Kluyveromyces lactis: one gene and its partners. The protein of the gene in region 4 interacts with the protein of the main gene of each other region in a biochemical or structural test. Links are inferred from orthologs where the notes say so. Each region holds a gene or a part of one and is shown on either strand. Other genes may lie near its edges.

What was found.
Region 1: the proteins of SLA1 (region 4) and CHC1 form a complex in vitro, tested with the Saccharomyces cerevisiae proteins (2 studies listed by BioGRID). The link is inferred for Kluyveromyces lactis from reciprocal best matches to the Saccharomyces cerevisiae genes SLA1 and CHC1.
Region 2: the proteins of SLA1 (region 4) and LAS17 form a complex in vitro, tested with the Saccharomyces cerevisiae proteins (2 studies listed by BioGRID, with this or other methods). The link is inferred for Kluyveromyces lactis from reciprocal best matches to the Saccharomyces cerevisiae genes SLA1 and LAS17.
Region 3: the proteins of SLA1 (region 4) and UBI4 form a complex in vitro, tested with the Saccharomyces cerevisiae proteins (3 studies listed by BioGRID, with this or other methods). The link is inferred for Kluyveromyces lactis from reciprocal best matches to the Saccharomyces cerevisiae genes SLA1 and UBI4.
Region 5: of the proteins of SLA1 (region 4) and KLLA0_E08405g, one has a biochemical effect on the other in vitro, tested with the Saccharomyces cerevisiae proteins (2 studies listed by BioGRID). The link is inferred for Kluyveromyces lactis from reciprocal best matches to the Saccharomyces cerevisiae genes SLA1 and PRK1.
Region 6: the proteins of SLA1 (region 4) and RSP5 form a complex in vitro, tested with the Saccharomyces cerevisiae proteins (2 studies listed by BioGRID, with this or other methods). The link is inferred for Kluyveromyces lactis from reciprocal best matches to the Saccharomyces cerevisiae genes SLA1 and RSP5.

What each region holds. Positions count from the first base shown.
Region 1 is NC_006042.1:910,805-913,469, forward strand, and holds the end of CHC1 (clathrin heavy chain), read right to left. Parts: coding exon 501-2,665; downstream 1-500. Other genes in the region: chromatin-remodeling protein SPT16, read left to right, coding at 1-275. UniProt on the Saccharomyces cerevisiae protein: Clathrin is the major protein of the polyhedral coat of coated pits and vesicles. In yeast, it is involved in the retention of proteins in an intracellular membrane compartment, presumably the trans-Golgi.
Region 2 is NC_006039.1:433,425-437,181, reverse strand, and holds LAS17 (actin-binding protein LAS17), read right to left. Parts: upstream 2,463-3,757; coding exon 501-2,462; downstream 1-500. Other genes in the region: KLLA0_C04796g (uncharacterized protein), read left to right, coding at 1-375; KLLA0_C04752g (uncharacterized protein), read right to left, coding at 3,250-3,654.
Region 3 is NC_006041.1:74,448-77,535, forward strand, and holds UBI4 (ubiquitin), read right to left. Parts: upstream 1,647-3,088; coding exon 501-1,646; downstream 1-500. Other genes in the region: ECM29 (Ecm29p), read left to right, coding at 1-237. UniProt on the Saccharomyces cerevisiae protein: Ubiquitin exists either covalently attached to another protein, or free (unanchored).
Region 4 is NC_006037.1:445,988-450,174, forward strand, and holds the start of SLA1 (cytoskeletal protein-binding protein SLA1), read right to left. Parts: upstream 2,801-4,187; coding exon 1-2,800. Other genes in the region: 2-hydroxy-palmitic acid dioxygenase MPO1, read right to left, coding at 3,603-4,124. UniProt on the Saccharomyces cerevisiae protein: Component of the PAN1 actin cytoskeleton-regulatory complex required for the internalization of endosomes during actin-coupled endocytosis. The complex links the site of endocytosis to the cell membrane-associated actin cytoskeleton.
Region 5 is NC_006041.1:755,739-759,832, reverse strand, and holds KLLA0_E08405g (Ark/Prk/Nak family serine/threonine-protein kinase), read left to right. Parts: upstream 1-1,294; coding exon 1,295-3,628; downstream 3,629-4,094. Other genes in the region: KLLA0_E08449g (uncharacterized protein), read right to left, coding at 1-115; histone deacetylase HDA1, read right to left, coding at 3,671-4,094. UniProt on the Saccharomyces cerevisiae protein: Protein kinase involved in the regulation of actin cytoskeleton organization and endocytosis. Phosphorylates PAN1 which disrupts the interaction between PAN1 and END3, and between PAN1 and SLA1. Phosphorylates SCD5.
Region 6 is NC_006041.1:1,196,726-1,200,932, reverse strand, and holds RSP5 (NEDD4 family E3 ubiquitin-protein ligase), read right to left. Parts: upstream 2,801-4,207; coding exon 341-2,800; downstream 1-340. Other genes in the region: DSE1 (Dse1p), read left to right, coding at 3,747-4,207. UniProt on the Saccharomyces cerevisiae protein: E3 ubiquitin-protein ligase which accepts ubiquitin from an E2 ubiquitin-conjugating enzyme in the form of a thioester and then directly transfers the ubiquitin to targeted substrates.

The DNA of each region.
Region 1 (2,665 bases), on a different chromosome or scaffold from region 4:
TGGATGGTGGGTGGTCGTTCTTGGCAACTGGATCCGATGATGAAAGATCTGATGAGAGCGAGGAAGAAATTTCAGAATACGAGGCATCTGATGAGGATCCATCTGATGAGGAAGTGTACTCTGAAGAAGAAGAGGATTATTCGGATGACGAAAAATTCAGTGATGAAGGGTCAGATGATTTCGCCGATGGATCAGAAGATGACGAAGGTGATGACTGGGATGACTTAGAAAAGAAAGCAGCTAAGGCAGATCGTAATAGCAATTACAAAGAGTAAGATTTTTCTGTCTCTGGATAGTTTATCGTTATTTTGGGTTGTATTTTTATAAGCACATAATGTAGGCACTTTAAAATCTTTTTTATTGAAATAGTTGGTTATTCTGGTTGGTTTATTTATCTCAACGTAATTGCATTCTTATTACATATTATACATACGGTTCATCAAATTAACATGACAGCATCGAAAGTGCGATGGAAAATAACTTACTAAACCCCCTCAAGTTCAGTAGTTAGAAAACCCAGTTGCCTGTGAGCCAATCGCGCCATTTGTCAAAAGTAATGGCTGGTCATCGGAGTTAGAGCCTACTTTTGCCTTTGATGCAAACTCGGAACTTAATTGCTTGATCGCATCATTTTGCTCCTTCTTCACAGAAATTTCATATGGTTTAATAAATGTTTCCAAGTTATTCAACCAAGCTTGTTCAAGGACAGTATCGTATGTAATCAAGTGGTAACAAGAATATAGTAAAGCGATAAATCCTTCTTTGTTGTCGGTTTCAATGAAGAATGATAATAGGTCTTCGGCGATCTGTTGACTTTGTGAAATTGCAGCAGTTTCAATAGCATGTTTCCAGAGCTGTTCGCCCTTGAAGATAGCCAAACTCTTGGCCCACTTTTTGTTTCTACGGTACAATTCGGCAGCAATAATCTTGAAGAAAATTATCTCATGATTTTCCAAACGGGTGGCCAACTCTAGTTGATCAAACTTATCATACGAGCTAACAGCGTCTTGAAGAGCTTTGTAATCAACCTCTTCGATCATCAAATCGTGATAAGCCTGATTAACTACGGAGTTGTTTTTTGGCAAGACATTAATTAAGAATGGTTTAATCAATGGTAGATTGTCAGATTTGGAGAAAATTCTAACAGTTCTTGGAATGTCTAATCTTGGAATCAACACGGTTAATAAATCAACAAGTAGTGAAGGGTGTTCCTTCACATAAAAGTTGATTGCTTTGTAGTAAATTTCCAAGTTTGACACTTTAACAATGATTTCTTTGAAGTACGAATGGTCAAAGTTATAGGCAGACTTTTCAATCATCGTTAAAGCAGCATTATCCCATTCATCGTAGTGTGCATACAAAAAGATCAATTCTGGCCATAAATGAGCATCCTCTACAGCCCTTATGACTTTTGGAATGTTAATACGAGACCAGAATAGCTTTAGGTGTTCATAAGTCTTGGATGGATTGTACTTAGTGTAAAGGATTGCCAATTCAGTAAACATACCCATATGAGCTCTTTCCAAACCTAAACCTGCTTCGAATAGGGAAATTAGCTCCTCGAAATACCCGTTGTGCTCATATACAGCAACCAATTCGTCTAACTCCTCGGCATGAACAACCAAATTCAAACCACAGATTTGAGCCAATCTAAATTCTTTATTGGAAATACATGCGTCGTTAACCTGTCTCCACACCTTAACATTGGAAGCTTTTCTGGCGGTATCGACAGCATTTTGATAATCACCCAAATAAACTAAAGTGCTAGCCAACTTAGAGTAGTTAGAAATAGAAGAGTAACATAATTTGGCAGCTTTGTAATCATTATGCTGGGATAACTTATCACCAACTTCTTCTAGGTTAGCAACGGTAGAGACTGACAACAAGTTTTCAATTTCATTCAACTTACTCAATTCAGCGTATGCCAAGATTAATGCTCCGTCGATTACCGGTTCCTTCAAAGATTCTCTAGCCATCAACAAATATGGGACAAGCTCTTCAAATTTACCAGCGTCTTCGGCAGCCTTGATAACGTTCATGAAGTTCGAAGGATCTTTAGCCTTGATGTAAGAGTCAATAGCTTCTGGGATACGTAATGCATTTAATTCTGCAGTACCAAGTTGAGACCATAGCTCTGGTGTGTTGATTTTGTCGGCATATGATTCTGCTCTGTCTAACATCAAAAGATCTTCGACTATAACTTTCAATGCTTTGTCATGTTTCCCATGTTTATCATAAATTTCGAAGGCTTCTTCATTTAATTCATTTTCAATACACAATGGTGCAATTTCATCAACATCATAATGATCTAATTTCTCAATTAAGCCACTTACCTTGTTAGGTTCATATCTAATAGCAGAGAGAAGCAATAAACCTTGCAAAGCAGGATTGTCATTGAAAGGAGATGGCTCTAGGATAATCTTCTCTAACAATTCAATTAACTCCGTCTTTAATCCGTTAGACATAAAAGCCTGCACAGTCAAAGACACTGGTTCTGGATCAGTAAGCTCAGGAATGCCAACGCTAATGACAGCATCAACCAATTGACGTCTATGGATATTGTCAGGAGACAACACAATGTTCCACAAATCAGAGTTTGAACGAGCCAACAAATATCTGGCCTGATATTTGTACATACTATTTTCGTTTGTGATTCTAATCAAAT
Region 2 (3,757 bases), on a different chromosome or scaffold from region 4:
GAGGAAGAGGAAGCTTCAGAATCCATGATTGAATTTGTCAAATCACTATCGCAAAAATCTCGTCTCCTTAAGCTCTTGTTGAGTTCATTATCCAAATCGATAACCATAAAAAAGGATACTGTAACTACAGCAGCATATCTATCTGAGCTAAATCAACTCCACAATTCAATAGTTTCTAACTCTGATACTTTAATTTCATCCACCTTAGTGAACGCTGAATATGAAGTAGATCCAGAAGTGGAAACATCAGTACTTGCTATCAATAATGATGTTAAGAAAGTTATAAAAATTATTACACAGCTAAACGGTTCAGATGAGTCCAAGTTGAAATGGATACAGGTATGGTCAAATAAGTGGAGTTCTTTGAATAATTAGTTTAGTTTTATCTGTCTTCTGTTTTAAAGGCATCTGAAAGTAATATATAGGTACACCGTACATACAAATACCAAATCATAATTCCACAGTCTAGTCAGATGCAGTTCAAGTAGGGTGAATTACTTTCACCAATCATCACCGTTGTCTATATCATCGTCACGAGCAACTTTATTCTTTCTTTGGTTTAAAGCCGCAGCTAGGGCATCAGCCAAGGACGCAGGAGCACCAACAGGTCCGCCAGTTGACCCGCCTGTGGGTTGAGATACCGGCGCATCACTACGAACTTCTTGTAACAAAGGACTTGGCTTTTCAAGTTGAGATTTATCCACCTTACGGAGGGAATTCAGACCAGCTCCACGAATCGATGCTAATAAGGCATCCCTTCCAGCATCACCAGTATTTTCAACAAAACCAGATCCTGCTTCAGGTTGATTAAATGCAGGGGCTGGAGGAGGAGGAGGAGGTGGTGGTGGTGCGGGCGCTGAGTTCGTTATCTGTGGAGCAAAAGGTGCCGGAGGGGCAGGAGGTGCTGGGGGAGGTGCAGTGCCATTAGGTACCGCTATATGATGCTGGGGTTGGGCTAACATAGGCTCGGTCGATGGGTGATACTGAGTGCTTACACCTGAGTGGGGTGGTAAGACAGGGGGAGGCGGAATGTATGCGGTTTGCTGTGGTGGTTGATATTGCTGAACAGGAGGCGCTGCATTGTAGGTATTATGCTGTTGAAGAGGAGGAGATTGCATTTGTGGTGGAAGCTGGGGCTGGGGAGGGCCGATGGCTGAGTTATGAGTTGTACCTCTGCTTGCAGGTGGAGAAGGAGCCTGGCCACCACGTCTAGGTGGTGGTGGTGGTGGAGGCCCTCTTCCAGTACGACTATGCTGACCGCCAGTTGGAGCATTAGGTAGAGGACCTCTTGAAGGAATGGACGGCGGAGCAGCTGAGCGTCTTGGAGGGGGAGGTGGTACCGGACCACGCCTCGAAACTGGAGGAGCAATACCAGGTCTCGTTGAAGTTGGTCTCGGAGGTGGTTGCAGACCAGCAACAGAATATTGTCCAAACTGAGGAGTGTTGTTATTAGTGACGTTTTGTTGTTGAGCTGGATGGGAAGGTGGAGGAGGGATTGCAACGCTTTGCTGCATAGGCGGAATCGAAGGAGGTGCTGCAGGTGAAGGAGAATTATGCTGCTGCTGGAATTGCGGATGAGGTGACTGAGCCAGTGGACGATATTGTTCTGCTGGTAAAGGAGGAGGAACTGCATGTACCGGGTGGTTTATTGGTGGAGGAGGATTACTTGGTGCTGGTGTTGATGCATAGGATGAATCCGGGGTAGGAGAATGAGTAGAGGAAACCGATGGAGGTGCAGGAGAGCTTGGGAATGATGGAATAGAGTCGTACTTATAAGATGGGATGCTCACAGGAGGAGGAGGTTGTTTCTCGACAGGCGGTGGCGGTGGTTTCGAGGCAAAAGAAGGAGGAGCGGCACTTGCATCTGAAGCTGAGTTTTCAGTTGAAGCATAATTCTGGCTGGGCTGCTCGTAATGGTGTTCCTGGCGGTGCTCGTGCTTTTCCGGTTCATATCTATATCTGACCCTTTGGTCACTGATCAAGGATTCGCCTCTTGGACCATGGATCACTTTACTCTCTTCCTCTTTCTTAATTTGGTCCTCTAATGCAATTGCATTCTTGTTGGCCAAGGTCTTCTTGGACGCGTATTTCTCCCGTTTCTGTACTCGTTTCAAAAAATGTGAAGCATCGCCAATATCGGTGAATAACAACCCGGCGTTACATTGTTCTAATTCAAAGGTATGAAAGAAAGTACGATCCTGGTTATATTGAAAGTTCACGTACAATTCTTGATCCCAGAGAACACCTCGATGCCCATGCACGTCGATCAACTTCAAAAAGAAAGTATTACCAACGATATCGTCCACCAATGCAATGGCACCAGATAAGCCAGTATAAACCCATTTCTCTGGATTAGGGTATGCAATGTATAACCTAGCGATAGTAACATCTATAATCTTGTTAGAAGCCTTGGGCAAAGCATGTTTAACCTTTTCTTTCTCAGCAGAATTCAAGCCTCCCATAGTATACTCGGAAACAACTGCTTTATGATTATTAATTTCTCAAAAGAAGTGTAAACTCGTTCAACTTGAAATCAATTCTTGACGGAGGCAGCTACCGATGGGTTCTAATGAAAATAACACAAACGCGCGATGCACTTTAGGGAGTGGGGGGGTTTGGCTGACTATAATTTACGGTTCTTAAGTTTTCGGTCTGTTTAACATTTCGCAACTTTTCAATTTTTCAATATTGAAAGTTGAAGCGATTCTTAATACGGCATTATTCCCCTATAATTCACAGAGTGATTCAGTGAAAGAAGAAGGGACCAACAGAACTGCGAGAGAGATAAAAAAAAAAGGACCTTTACACAATGGGGTTTGTTCAAGTTGCCATATTGAATTCAAAAGTACTAACAGACCATTTGTAAATGGGAATACAGTGTGCCCATTTAGGTCACTGCAAGGTACAGGAAAGACAAGAAGCATTTCAGTACGAACACGCATTCGAACATAATACGGAGAAAAATTAAGAGTTCTGTTTACTGATACATCTGGCCGACGCATGTGGACGTGGTTACAGCGGCACAATGGCAGAAGAATTTCTGTCCTGACCCAGGAACCGTCTGGCACTGCAGCATCTGACAAAAGTCAGAATCACTTTGTACGTGTTGATCGCTTTATGCTGGGTTTTTTTGGCAACCAGCATGCGGTATTCAAAAGGTAAACAACAGCTACATGCTCGAAGAGATCAGAGGGAGAAACATCGAAAGATGGTTTTTTTTTGCAGGTGGACGGTGTTTGGATTGCGTGCTTATGATGTGAAATAGTTTACAACAGGCGGCGTGATTGGGTTTACATTTTGTGTCTTGTTTACAGTTACGTTAAACGTAAATGCTTTCTTCTCTTTAGTCCAGCGTAAAACTCTTCCAAAAAGAATTCTTTTTCCTAGGCACTTTTTTGACACGAAATTATGTTTTAGCATATTACAGGAACAGCTTTTGGATGTTGCGAAACAAAACGAAACGAAACAGAGTAAACATAAACAGTGAGCAGGAGCAAGTGTTTGAGAATGCTTTCTGTGGTGTGTTTGTTTACATGCTTTGGAATGTTTGAAACAAGTGCTGGGGTCCAGCTCGATGTCATATTTTGTGATTTCTGGTATATAAAGGGCACAACAATGGCAGGATGAGGTACCAGTAATGCAACTATCAATCATTGTGTTAAACTGGTCACCAGAAATACAAGATATCAAAAATTACTAATACTACCATAACAGTACTTACCTGTGTGCGTGTGCTATCTCTCTATACAAGCCTTTA
Region 3 (3,088 bases), on a different chromosome or scaffold from region 4:
TCCTCAAATGATGTATCTCACATTTTCATTGATATCTGGAAATATGGCCACGCTCTATGCAACAAGAAAGAAGTTATTGAAAGTGTCAAGATAAAGCTGATAAGGTATGGTGGGCTATTGAAAGAAAAGTTCCCCCACACCAATACCATGGTCGACTTTGGCATTTTGGAGATTCTTAGAGTGGATGACTCCTCAGTATTGAAAGCTGAAGCTTTAAATATTGGAATATCTCAGTAGAAATTGCCAACGGATGATATATTACTATCTTCTACTATTTATAACATTATCATAGTTGTTATGTATCTCTGAAAATGTATATAATATATACAAGACCCTAAACTTTTTATCCAAAGAATGTAAGGAAAAAAAAAAAATGCAAAAAAAAAAAAAATTGAATTGAGTATAAATGATACAACGGCTTTGCGTGGTCTCAAGCTCGTTAATAAACTCCCTATCGAGTTTCACTCCAGTAATCGGAAATATGAAATAAATCTTTACCATTAGATGCCACCTCTTAATCTCAAGACAAGATGTAAAGTGGATTCCTTTTGGATGTTATAGTCAGACAAGGTTCTGCCATCTTCCAACTGCTTACCTGCAAAAATTAATCTTTGTTGGTCTGGAGGAATACCTTCTTTGTCTTGAATCTTAGACTTGACGTTATCGATGGTGTCGGAAGATTCGACTTCCAAAGTGATGGTCTTACCAGTCAAGGTTTTGACGAAAATTTGCATACCACCTCTTAATCTCAAGACAAGATGTAAAGTGGATTCCTTTTGGATGTTATAGTCAGACAAGGTTCTGCCATCTTCCAACTGCTTACCTGCAAAAATTAATCTTTGTTGGTCTGGAGGGATACCTTCTTTGTCTTGAATCTTAGACTTGACGTTATCGATGGTGTCGGAAGATTCGACTTCCAAAGTGATGGTCTTACCGGTTAAGGTTTTGACGAAAATTTGCATACCACCTCTTAATCTCAAAACAAGATGCAAAGTGGATTCTTTTTGGATGTTGTAATCGGACAAGGTTCTGCCATCTTCCAACTGCTTACCTGCAAAAATTAATCTTTGTTGGTCTGGAGGGATACCTTCTTTGTCTTGAATCTTAGACTTGACGTTATCGATGGTGTCGGAAGATTCGACTTCCAAAGTGATGGTCTTACCGGTTAAGGTTTTGACGAAAATTTGCATACCACCTCTTAATCTCAAAACAAGATGCAAAGTGGATTCTTTTTGGATGTTGTAATCGGACAAGGTTCTGCCATCTTCCAACTGCTTACCTGCAAAAATTAATCTTTGTTGGTCTGGAGGGATACCTTCTTTGTCTTGAATCTTAGACTTGACGTTATCGATGGTGTCGGAAGATTCGACTTCCAAAGTGATGGTCTTACCAGTCAAGGTTTTGACGAAAATTTGCATACCACCTCTTAATCTCAAGACAAGATGTAAAGTGGATTCCTTTTGGATGTTATAGTCAGACAAGGTTCTGCCATCTTCCAACTGCTTACCTGCAAAAATTAATCTTTGTTGGTCTGGAGGGATACCTTCTTTGTCTTGAATCTTCGATTTCACGTTATCGATGGTGTCAGAAGATTCAACTTCCAAAGTGATAGTCTTACCAGTTAAAGTCTTAACGAAAATTTGCATGTTTTCTCTTGATCTAGTTTTAAGGGGAATGAGAGGGGGGGGGGTAAATAATTTGGGGTGAAATAGTATAACCTTGAGTCAGTATCTTCTATGAGAGAAACTCTTGATGCTCCTTCTTAACCAATATGATGTTGTTAATAATATCAGGAAACAAACTGCCAAAATAACCCTTTTGTTTTTATATATACTCCCTTTTTTTTTTAAAAAAAAAGGAACTTGTTCGCTTATTTCTTTTATTTTATCTCCCTATCAGTTCTTACTAATAACGGAGAATATAGCACAAAAAATGAAAATAAGAACAATAATGATAGCTGCTATGCTGTCCAAACTTTCAGAATAGATATATGAATGCGATATAGGTAGTAATAGTATCTAACCCGAATAATATCTTAGAAAAAGATAAACGTATTTAGAGAATAAACGGGGGAAAGAACAATCAGAAGTGGCAAATACGAGAGAAAAAAAGGCGGCCGCCCAAGTGATCACTATTTATATAAAAGCATCCAGTGTAATCAGTTTCGCTCGGCCTAAGGTGGCCGTTTGAAAAGAAAAATTTCCCGAGAGGGAATTCGATGGAAAACCGGCAGTTTGGAATCTGTTACGTTGCAGCCATCTCTGTATTTCAGCCTTGTATCTTTAACTGTTTGCAATGAATCTTTTCTCCGGCTTACAGATCGCCATGACTTGAGGTTTATGATTGCATGACGAAGAGCGGGGATATATGGAATGAACTGCTAACTTTGATTGTTCAGAGTAAAGAGCATACCGCTTTGTATCCACTGATACCTTCTGCAGTACAGTGTGTATATGCAGAGGTAACCATGGAAACTCATGGAACAATGAAGTTTATCCTTTTTTTTTAGACTTGCGGGGAGAATCTAAGATACAGACAGACGAAAAAAGTGACTCGAAGTCATCCACGTGATTAAATCAGGGTAACATACATCATATTTTATCTGCCTGGCTTCTCCTAAATTCATTCTTGACCTTTCAGATGCTCCCGGAACATACCCAGGCCAAATATCTCTGTCATTGAGGTTCCTGGCGGGATAATTCGGACTGCCCAGAATCTCTTCGATATTACTTGTCTTATAGTCCTAGATGACACTTTTTTTTCGACTCTTTTTATGATAGCGGTGTTCTTAACGCCTTTGTCGTATACTCAGGTGACACTTTCCATCATATTGAGCTGTATGGTCTTTCTCCATTCAGCATCCGAGGAAAGGGACTTCATTAAGTAAGGAGTCCAAGAAGTTCTCTGATAGGCATGTAGGCTGCCGTAGGCGATTGAGCGGCATTTAATTTAGTCGAATTTAGAAGAAAATGCAACAATTTCTGTACTTTTTTCTCGTATCGATAGTGAAAAGGGGAGACAGCACAAACAAAAACAGGAATTTTTTTTTAGGCAAAAGTAAATAGTACAACTACTAATGGGGTTACAT
Region 4 (4,187 bases):
CAATCATACCTCCAGTCCTTTGCAGAGGTACTAGCCCCCCAGTCGGTTGGAATGGCATTAAACCGCCTGTTGCTACTGGCATCATAATGAATCCCCCTGTAGTAATAGGGATTAGATTATTACCACCAGTTTTGAATGGATCTAATGGAACCAAAGAAGTACCCGTCTTATTTGCTGACAGAGGGGTTTCTTCCTTTTTATTCGAACCGTTAGTGGTGACAGATTCTAGATGCTTGACATCTGGAGCTGGTGTTTCTTTCTTCTTCGGCTCTAAAGGTTGCAAATCAAGCAAATCTTGAAGTGACCCAGAGAAATCCTGAGCCTTGTTGGAGCTGTCGCTGGCTTTAGCAGCAGGTCTAACAGTCCATGCATCATCATCTCTATTCGATGAATTACTATCTGGTAATAGATTATGAGATACGCCTGCAGATGCGGGAGCACCTGTATGGTTAACCTTCAAGGATCCATCGGCTTCAGTAAACAATCCAGTTGATGGAGAAGCCTCCTTTGTTCTGCCAAACTTGTTATCTAGATACTTCATTACTCTTAAAATGTCACCTTCACGTAGACCTAAGTTTCTTAATAAAGAAGGCTCGATATCTGGCAAGATTTCTTCACTAATTTGCTCTCTTTCGAAATTAATGGTGTAGCGTTGACAATTGTTGACATCAACACCAGCATTCAAGAAAAATTCGAACCAATCGTATTCGGGATTCTTGGAGCTCTTTGTGACAGGGTGCGTTTTGCTTGCTTCACTGCCTGGTCTTGGTGGTTTCACAGGTGGCAGTTCTTTGTCTTGTGCACTCCTCAGCTTTTCTCTTTCGCTTTCCAAGAGATCTCTAGCCCTCTTTAACTCTTTAAGTTCTTGCTCTCTTAATTGTCTATCACGTTCTCTTTCTTCAAGTTCCCGTTCACGCTCCTTAGCCTTTCTTCTTCTTTCACGTTCTGCGTTTACTGCACTACTGTCATTATTTGAACTCTTGGGTTTATGTTTGAATTTCTCCATAGACATACCCGTCAATCTTTCCACATACAAAATATCATCTTCGGACAATTTGTCTGCAGCAACAGCAATTTTCACACCGTTCACCTTATGTAAGTTAACCTTCCCATCGACACAGCCCAAAAACTGTGCTTCAACTTTGAAAGTACCACTTCTGTCTACCCAAATTCTAACCTTTTTAGGATCAGGGAACTCTTTATCATCAGTTTTCTTCTTCTTGGAGAAAAAGCTCGAAGTTTTAGACTTTTTCTTCGATACATCTTGATCAGCATCCTCTTTCCAGCTGCCAACTAAATTTTGAGTAAAGTTAGAAGTGTTAGATCTGGATCTGGTCTTAGACTTACTCCTAGAAGGGCTTTCATCAGAAGGCCTTGATGAGCCTGATCCGCGTGTTTCGACAAATTGTGCGGGGACAATGCCTCTTTTACCTGTTTCTACAGATTCACACATATACCAGTCTTTCGAAGTCCTGTCATCTAAGATATTAATGTAGTCGCCTTCTTTAACGGTGAGTTCATCAGGAGAGTTAGCGAAAAAGTCATATACAGCTTTAGCTCTTTTCTTGGTCATGGCAGGCCTTGAAGCAGCTTCAACTTCACGTAACCCAACTGCTGTCTGGGCACCTTTAATCTCACCCAAGACGCCCATGATCTCGTTAGCCAGATCGTTAGAGCCAGTATGCAATTCCAAGTTAATGTAAGGGTTTTTAAATTCAAGAAATAGATGCTTTTTTTCATTGTTATAGTTGATCAAATCTTTAACTGCCCATTCTTGATCCACTTTTGTCTTTGCAGAGAAGAAATGAATACGTTCAGCAGAAACAGTCAACGTAGCTTTACATTTCTTACGACCATCAACCTCACTAACAGACCAAACATGTTCAGCGGTCGAGGCTGAAGGTCTTCCATTTCTAGATGGCAGTGGAGGTTGATCTTCCTCATCGTCATCGAAATCGTAATCACGCTCATCATCTGAATAATCTCTAGTTATTTGGGAAGTTCTATTATTGTCTCTTGGGTCATCACGATAACTTGTTTGGTGTTCAGTATTAGAAGGTCTTTGAGGCATTGCTGGAGGTTCTGCTACTGCTGACTCACGCTGGACTTCTGTGGTTGCCGTATCGTTTCTCTTTGGAGGTGGAGGGAGCAGTGAAACATCAACTGGCATAGTTGTATGAGACGCAACGCCTGCATTTGATGCTGGTGGTGGTGTCGATGTAGATGGAGCTCCTGGAGCATCTGCTGTACTTGCAGCGCCAGCAGGGGTAGATCCGCTTCTGAATGATGGTTGAGAATTGACTCTGTCCAACCTCTGAGGTGGAGCTGGAAGTTCAGAAAGGGGTAGAACAGCTGGGGCTTGGTGCTTAGACTGTGTAACTCCTGCAGCGGGACCTCCAGCTTGCTGCGATTGTTTTTCCACGTAATTACCTGGCACAAACCCAACCTCTGAATTCTTGGTATTCTTCACCAAGAACCAATCTGCATCCCTATCGTCATACAATTGGAACGTATCGTTTTCATGGAATACCAATTCCTCATTGGCATTCTGAACTTGTTCATAATCGTAAAGCGCAACTACACTCCCAATCACTGGAGCCTCTTCAATATATGTCTTGGGGACCAAACCTACGGGTTCATCCTGATCAGATCCGATAACTCTCTTCTTAACGGTCCACCAATCATCAATGCTAGATTTTTCTAAAAGATACAATAGATCACCCTCTTTGACAGTTAGTTCCTCATCTGTTTGCGCAGAATAATCGTAAAGCGCCTGGTAAACACCCAAAAACACCGTCATTGTAGGTATTTAAATGCGTCAGGAGCCAAGTAAAAGGACCTATAAGCTTCCAGATTGTATACAAGGCCAAGAGGATCCCTATACAAATCGCCAATCAAATTTAATTATCCAAACTAAATTGAAATCAAAAACTAAAAGAATGCAGGAATACGAGACACTTCCTTTTTGTCGTCTCTTTTCGGTATTATGCTATTTCCTTTTATTTCTCCGTTTTGATTGGTTTTTTTTTTTCTCTTTTGCACAATTGCAATGCAACTCGCGCACTCTATCTAAACCTCAAGAGTTTGTCTGGCCTTTCTAACCCAATTCAAGCTAAAACTTGTTTATACGAATTACTTATATATGTATAGACATATATATATTTATATATGTTCTAAGTATATTGATAGACTTATTCAATTATTTTGGGCCTAATCTTTTCTCATTTTCTGATTCTCTCATTTTCACTCAGAAAAAGAACAAATGAAAATACCGACAGCACGCAGCACCGGTTCCTGGCAGTGTGGTACAAGAACCTGCAGTTTTCGAATTGTTTTTCTGTGATCCTTTGGTTACCCGGGGTTGTGTTTCGTACATGATGATACGGTGATCCCGGATCTGGAAATAAAAAGGGGTTCTTGCCCAGTTCTAGTCATGTGACTGCGAATCGCAGAGATCTGATAGAAAGAAGAAAAAAAAGAGATCATTTCTATATCACGTGATTGATGTTTCAATTCCATCATGGGTTCAAGTATCGTTATTGTCATCATCATAGAAGTCATAAATAGAGCATATATACTGTTTAGGCGAACGGAGGTTAAGTTTATTTACTCGCTCTCATACGATCTAGCTCTTTGTCAACACGAGCTTGTAGATTCTTCTTAAGTTCAGGCATGAACCCTAAAATAAATAGTAATTCGTAAAGGATGAAGTATGGCGCTAGCACAAGACTTTGCACCAAGTTATCGAGAAGCGCAGGTTTGCGCTTCTCGAAAACACCGTGGCCAATGAACTGGAAGATCCAACTGATCACAAATAATATCCAGGCAGTGGTCTGTGTCATCTTAATAGTCCCGTCGTTCAAAAATTTGCACGTCAGTGCCAATATCAACGACGCAAGGATTCCGGTACCTACTCGTAACAGTATATAGAACAACCCAAATGACAACGCTAACAAATGAGTCAAGGTATAGCCATTCCAGATCTTAACGTCGTTCAATATACGCATGGATGTAAAGAGAATCGTTGGGACAAAAATGCTATGAATTAACACATTCCCAGTATTGTTATGATAAGCTTTGTAGAACGCTAGTTGCGTCTCTAGATCTAGAAGACTGGGACTCATTCTGAGACTTGGTAGCGCAAAACCGTAACACGGATGCTTTGCTTGTGTTTTTTGATGTTGCTG
Region 5 (4,094 bases), on a different chromosome or scaffold from region 4:
AATGCACTGAGCCGTCACTTATCGATGTCATCAATCCATGTTGATATAGAGGTTGCAATTTCAAGCACCAGTTGTTTTCTTCAAAGTAGCGACATTTGTATTTGTTGAAGGACATTGTGGGACTTCGCACCGTGACTGGTTATAGTGCAGTAGACTTTAACAAACTAGTTTACTCGATGGGATGAGATGAATCTTTTCTACCTCTAATCAAAAATAATAGCTTTAACTACTGAAAAAGAAAGATTCATGTTCGAAGGTGGAAGGAAATGGTAAAAAGAATGGTTCCTAGCGGGATCGAACCGCTGATCCCCGCGTTATTAGCACGGTGCCTTAACCAACTGGGCCAAGGAACCAGATCTTATGGTTTTTCGTATATTTTTCCAAACTCATGGCGCATGGTGGCGAGACCGCTCAGGAACAATAATCGAGTAGCTACCAATCTAATTGACGGATAAGTAGCAATATGTTACATAGACATGCAGCTAATAACAAATATCGATTCATCTGATTCTGAAGATCCAGATCTGGTGGCACGTGACTGAAATGGTTAGATAAAAAACATCAACATCTTGACATCTCACAGGCTGAAGAGAACCATATATTCCATCACTTTTTTTTAAGCCACATTATTCCAAATTAATGTTTATTAGCATAGGAGGCCTTAGCAAAACCACAAGGCCACCGCTGTAACTATTCCCTGCTGAGAAACTTTTCTCCACAAAAAATAAGGGCACAAGTAAGCACCAGGGTCCAAGACTTGCCTTCACCTATTGTTCCTTTTTCCTTGCAGTTGTTATCACTCTTTTTAGGGACCCGCCCCTATTAACATTTTCCAATGTTGACAAAAAAATCAGGCTTGAACATTGAAAATGGAAGTCAGTTTTTTTTTCATATAAAAAATTATAGATTTGGTAAATTAAGTGCTATTCAATGAGGTTTACAGCGTTGAGCAGGGCAACAAGAAGCATAGTAGTTCCACCAAGCTACGGGGTTTTATCCTTACATTTATTTTTTTTGCATTTCATAGTTCATCCAAGTGGTGCACTTTTATCAATTGTGAGTTTTGCATTATTTTTTTTTACTTCATTCTGCCTGGACAAATTTCCATCAATTTGCTTATATACTTTTGTGCTATAGGTCACAGTACAAGAGAGCACGTAGGAAAGACGGCATTTGCAAAAGTTTTCTCGAAGGTTAACCCATTTGTGTTGGCGTTATACGCTTACTGTATTTTAACTGCTGGCTTTTCTCTTTTTCTTTGCATTCTGAATTCACATCTATATGGATCTTTAAAATGAATCAGCCGCAAATTGAGAAATACGCATCGGGTACCATATTGCCTGTTGGATCGCATCAGGTGAAGGTTTTGAAATATCTCGCGAGCGGTGGGTTCGCGCATGTATATTCCGTTGAAATTAGCCCGCCAGATCCGGTATGCCCAGATAATGTAGCATGTTTAAAGAGAGTTGTTGTTCCTGACAAAGCAAGTCTTAACACATTGAGGGCGGAAGTGGATTCAATGAAGGCTCTTAGAGGCAACAAATTCATTGTTTCGTATATCGATTCACATGCCACTAAGTCTCCGGTTAACGTAGGAATGTATGAAGTGTACTTGCTTATGGAATACTGTTCTGGCGGTGGGCTTATCGATTTCATGAATACCAGATTGCAGAATAGACTTCAAGAGTTTGAGATTCTCAATATCATGAGTCAAGTGAGTCAAGGTGTTGCTGCTATGCATGCTCTGCAACCACCATTGATCCATAGAGATATTAAGATTGAGAATGTCTTGCTCTCGAAAAATCATGAATTTAAGCTTTGTGATTTCGGATCAGTGTCTGGTGTCATTCGAGCGCCAAGAAATACAGAGGAGTTTAACTATGTCCAGTACGATATAATGAAAAATACAACGGCGCAGTACAGATGTCCAGAAATGATCGACTTATACCGTGGTTTACCGATAGACGAGAAGTCTGATATTTGGGCATTGGGTGTCTTCCTGTACAAAACATGCTATTATACTACGCCGTTCGAGAAAAATGGGGAATCTGCCATCTTAGCATCTAAATTCGAGTTCCCAGCCTATCCACGTTATTCTGATAGAGTGAAAAATTTGATAAGTGTCATGTTACGTGTAGATCCTCTGAAACGTCCGAATATTTGTCAAGTGGTAGAAGAGGTTTCACGTATTCAAGGCATTCCATGTCCAATCAAAAACTTTTATCTGTTAAGAATGATGGATAAACAGGAACAACCAAGGGTGTCGCCACCTCCTCATGTGCCACAGATGACTGTGCCGGCAACTGTGCCAACTTCTGTTTCAACTCAGCATCTGCCCCCCCAAGTTGTATCAAACGTACAGACTCCATCGAAAACTGCATCTATTCAGCACTTGCCTTATTTGCATGTGTCTAAGAGTCAACCTATGGTCACACAGCAGGATTTACTCTCACAAAAGCAACCTGCAGGAAAAACAGTTCCTCAGACGGTTTCAAACTACACAAGTTCAGATCCATTCTCCAAAATTGATAGATCTGCTCTTTTGTCTACTTCTGCTACAATGGAATCACTACCGAGGGCAATGAGAATACCACAACTAGAATATCAACAGCCTCATCTTCTGACAAGATCGCAATCAGTAGTGCCTAGAGCCTCTGTGAGTCCAGTAAGAAATGGTAGAGGTGCCATTTCAAGTATCTTGGCATCAAACAGAACATCCTTAGATAGACCAAAGTATGTGGACTCTGAAACTCAAACCAGCGATCATCCATCAGAACTGGGTCTTTCACGATCTCTGTCTAGAAAATCAGTCGCATCATCTCTGTCTTCTGCGGAATCCTTGGAAGCTACCTCAACTGGCGGTAGCTTGACTCGTAAAATAGGTTCTAAGATGAAAAAAGTTATCACCGGAGAGAAGAGGGGCTTTTCAACCATTAGAAGTGCACAAAATACCGGTGAAAGCGTAAAATCCGCATTTAACGCATTAAGAAAGGGAATTTCCTCAATGCAGTTCACTGGTGATAGCAGTTCCAGAAAATCATCTTTAGAAGCAAGAAAGTATAGAAGTACTTCAGGCAAATCCATTCCTGAAAATACTTCTTCTAACACCAAATCCCATAGGCGGTCCACCAGCTCGTTTTCCTTCGTTCCGGAAAATAATGACTATGAATTGATCGAAGATATACAAAAGGAGAAACCAAAATCATCACTGAGAAGATCCTCTTCCTTGAAAACTTCATCTTCGATCCAGAAGCGCGTTAAAGATCTAATCAATGCAGATGATATACCCAATCGCTCTTCTGCCACTGGATACGGGAAATATACTGATATTGGGAGGAAAACCGATATATCTGACCACCATAAATCCAATGCAAATCGTAAATCAAGTACAGTGATCACTCCTGTGCATGAGGCTCCTAAATCCAAACCAGCACCGCCACCCAAACCAGCTCATTTGAAGCCAAATCTTCCACCTAAGCCTAAACACCTAAAGGCAAAATCTTTCAGAACAAGCCCAGCAAAATCCGAAGTTAAAGAGCAGGATTCCGATCAAGATTCTGTGGGTAGCCCTTTCCAATCTCGAAAAGAAATGAAAGAGTTTGAAAGAAGATTTCCAAGTGCATTATAGAATACTTTTAAAATTACATATATCTTTATAATGATATTCTAATTATTCCGATTCACTCCATTCTTCGAAAGAATCCAATATGAAATCAGTTGCTTCTTCAAAACGTTCATCGAATATGTTTGTCATTCCGTCACAATCTGCCTTCAAAACTCTACCATACTTCTTTCTTAACTTCTTATTTTCGTTGGCCGTACTACCCCAACAAGAATGTGTGCTACTTGTGAATACCAAGGAATTCTTGAAATACCAATCTCCTAACGTTTCGTCAATTAATGGCACCATTACTTTAAGAGGTTTTTTGTCTAAAAATGATATTGCACATTTTACCACTGACCTGGTATCCCTATGGCCTAATAAATGGACAATGCCTCCGTAGGCATCTCCAATGCCGATAAATGCCACCTTTTGTAGATTTTGGAAGAATTTCAAGTAGTTATCCCATAAATATATCAGAATCTCTTGTGAT
Region 6 (4,207 bases), on a different chromosome or scaffold from region 4:
AATTTTCGTTATTATCCCAAAATTTAAGCTGGATATATCAATCTCTGGGCAATTACAAAACTCCGTCGGTTAGGAACCAGATACTTCGTTGTCAATTGCTTCCCACATTATAGCATACCTATATAAAGTAACACCTGATAATGGCAATAAAATATAACAAAGCACCATAAGTTGAGGCCTAACGAGGTTAAGAAAAAAATTTCTATGTAATAATATACACATGTTTTGGCAACAATATATCTATAACATATATATGTCTGTGCTTGTGTTTGTGCTTGCGCTTTCTGATTGAATAATTGAGAAGGTGCAGGGTATTGAAAAGATTGAAAGATTCATTCAACTACTCTTGTCCAAATCCGATGGTTTCTTCCACTGCTAATGTTAGCTTCTGCTTGAAAGATTCATAATCAGTGTATGGTGGAAGATCCACTCTGTTGAAACAAGTGTGTGACTTGGGTAGTTGTTGAACTTCACCTGCTTTTTCGATAGTGAATCTTCTTGGACCATCAGAACCTTGCAAATCTTTGAATCCATTGACCGGGATACGCGATGTACCAGTTGTGAATTGTAACAAACGTGCTCTTTGCTCGTTGTCCCATTCAGTGATACATTTCCAGAACCACTGGATAACTTCGTCAGACTCTTGGTATCCACGATAATCTGTGTGTTTTTTCCAGTCTTCAACATCAATTTCTGCAATACCACCAATCAATAATTCAAGTTCACGTTCATCAAACACGTTGACTAGATCTTCAGGAACCAATTCGTTAAATCCATCCATAAATGCCTTAAATTGTTCTTGAACTCTGTCTGCGATCCTCCATTGGGTATATAGTTCAACATATTCTTTCTTGTTTTCATCTGTGACTTCGATTTCTCTGCCGTTTGGTTTCAAATCGACGACAACCAGTTCACCAAATCTTTCATCATCAACATTAAATGTTAGATCTAAAATGCCATCTATGCTATTTTCTAAAATCCATTTCAAGGAGTTGTAGACTTCTGAATCGACACCTTCCATATCTTGTAATACTACCTTCTTTCTTAGCATCATCTTATATAGAGCACCAACGAAGAATGCATCCAAGAACCTTCTATGGAATACACCTAAACCGACGACTCTACCAATGAACTTGAAGTAGTTCAAATGCTCAGGGTTGATACCACTGTTTGGATTGATTTGGATAGTATAGTTATCATGGGCAGAATATTCAAATAGACAGTAGAAGGGATTAAACATCTCGTGTGATAGTAAAAAGAAGAATTCTCTTGAAACACCACCATAATCTAAACCTTCTTCACCGTCAAATTTGATCATTAGTCTCTTCTTTAAGTCTTCTGGCGTTTGTCTCATTATTTCTTGGTAAGAATCTTCGAAGATATTCTTTCTGCGTACTCTGATGTGACATTGACCTGGTAGAATTCTTAAAGCCGGTTGGGATCTGAAGTAAATAACCTTACGTCTGAAGTCACGCTTATACTGTGGAACGTTTTGATCCAAGGAAGAAGGTAATCTAGGATCATCCCAAGTGGTGGTCTTAGTGTTATGGTCAACGAAGTATACACGGGCTGTGTTTGTCAATCTCATCTCCCAACCAGAAGGCAAAGGTCCTAACTGAGATACAGGTTGTTGTTGTATGGTATTTGTGGAAGGCCCATAGGTTCTAATATATTGTTGTCTTCTTGGATCGACCCATGTCGTGGTTCTTGTGTTGTGATCAACGAAGTACGCTCTTCCTTCAGGAGTGAACCGTTGTTCCCAACCTGGTGGAAGTTCACCCAACCCCGATGTGGTACCCCCAGTGGCAGCAAAAGTAGCAGCTGCTGAACCGTTTACGGCAGGAGTTTGAGATCCAGTACCGGTATGAACAGCAACGTTTGATGAAGACGAGCCCTCTGATTGAGCACCACCATCAGGTAAAGTTCTTCCTCTGTGTTGTCTACGTTCTAGTTCGGTGTTGACACGTTGAACCTCGGATTGATCCAAAGTGGGTCTTTTCCATGTTGTTGTCCTTGTATTATGATCCACATAATATGTTCTTCCAAAGTTATCCGTTCTTCTTTCCCATCCTGGGGGTAAACGACCATATTGATCTTCAAACGATGAGTATTGCCTGCTAGCTGACGATTGAGATTGAGCTGTCGAAGGTTGACCGGATGGAGCAGCATCACTTGAACCGGCACCTGAACCTGAACTGGCGGTACCTGCAGCATTCGCAGAATCCTGGTTGTCTAATGTAGTAGTTTGCAAGTTGTTAGCAACAGTCTGAGCAATCAATCTGTTGTCGATAGTGGAAGCGTTCGTCATCGAATCCGATTGACGAGCTGCTCCGGAACCAGCAACAGCACTACCTGCGGCACCAGCAGCTCCATTACGGCTGCCAGCTCTGGGGAGAACCGTCAAAACCAATATTATTCTACCACTTACTGACAACCCGTCGTTAGAACGTTTTAAATCTCTAGTAATAGTCTCTTCACGAGCTCTACCGTTCGAAGTGGCAGTATCTTCGTCCAAGTGACCCAGAATGTCACCAATACGAACGTTGACAACACCTAGGAACCCTTGATCTTTCTTCTTGAACTTTTTCTGATCAAACACTTGAACAGTTAAGATCGAATTTTCACTCACATTTTTGAATTGAAATACTTCATTCCAGTAGGGATTCAACGTCTTCTTTGCAGCCGCTGTGGATTTCGTCTGAGAACCATCGATAGTCAAAACTGCAAACGGATCAGGAGATCTAAACACATCCCTCCTGTTCAATGACTCAGCAGCCACTAGTTTCACAGAGATAGACATATTTCGCAGCTTTTTATTTTTTTAATGGTTTGTCAATTTCAAATCCGATAATTTCTCCTTCAAAGTGGAATCTCAATAACAAATTGAAAAGTCTTCAAACACTAGATATCTGATAAGTGGTAGTAACAGCAATAATTATTAAACAAATAAAACCGCCCGAGAAAGCCTATAAGGTTTTATTTTTTGTCTTTTGTCTTCTTTAATTGTCGTAATTGCAAAGAAACAGAACAGGAAACAGAACCAGAAAAAAAGTTGATGATTCCTCTAAAAAGAAGCAAAGAAAAATCAGATCAATACCTTGCTCAATACCCTTTTCCGTACCGTCCTTTTTGCCACTGTCAATGCACGTTTGCTTATCCTCTAGCACCTTGATCTGATGATTAAATCGGATGTTGTTTGCAAGTAAAGTATCTTTGTTCTTGTTTTGTTTCCTTAATTAAAATATGCAAATCACAATTTTCTTTTCTCCTTTACTTGTCACGTGAGGAGATTGAAACCTGGAAAAAGAGTACTAAAGAGGGATACCAGGCTACGCCGAGTATGTCAGTAAATTCGGAAACGGCATTAATGGCGGTGGTAGCCACCAGGTTGCAAGAATCTGCCGTATTGCTGTCAGATGACGTGCATATGGGACGATTATGGGCATCACGTGACAAAAATCATATCGTCCAAAATGACATAAATATAAACAAGCCTTTGCCAGCTTTAAAGATGCTGGGTTTGTTTACAGGTAAACAAACCTCTTGCAAACATAAACAGGATGTTTGCTCATATGGCTGCCTAACACACTCAATAGGTAACGTGCCTTTCTCTAATTTTTGTTGCTTGTTCTGCGTTTGGTCCTATTTTTGATTGGCTCAGTGTTTGCTAGTGCTATTTTTATTTGCCCTGTATCATATATAAACATGTCGTTTCTAAAAGTGACCAGCTCTTACTCCTCTAATGGATGTACCTGTTAACAATCAATTATTCTCTGCAGTGCAAACATTACACAAAGTCAAATAAGAAACTGTATATTGCGAAAATTATGACTGAATTCTACAGGGCTCCAGAGATATTCAGACAGAACGCCATCATCGTCAAGAAGAGTAGAAGAGATATTAGCGATGACGAGAACAGTACTATTGTCAGGCGGAATTGCAAGATAGAGGCTTCGAAATTGAACAGTTCCTTGCTAAGGAAGGTTAGTGGTGATTTGAACGATGTCATTGTCACGAAAAAATTGAAGACAGATTGTTGGAAACTGTCAGAAGACACTAGGGACGTCACTTCAATGTCATTGGATAGGGACACCATTCTACTTTCCACATCACAGACATCGGATAATTTACAGTTGTTCCAATTGCGGAATAATGAAATTAATGAGCAGGCTCGCGGTGGGAAATTGCTCCATAGTTTACAAACCAT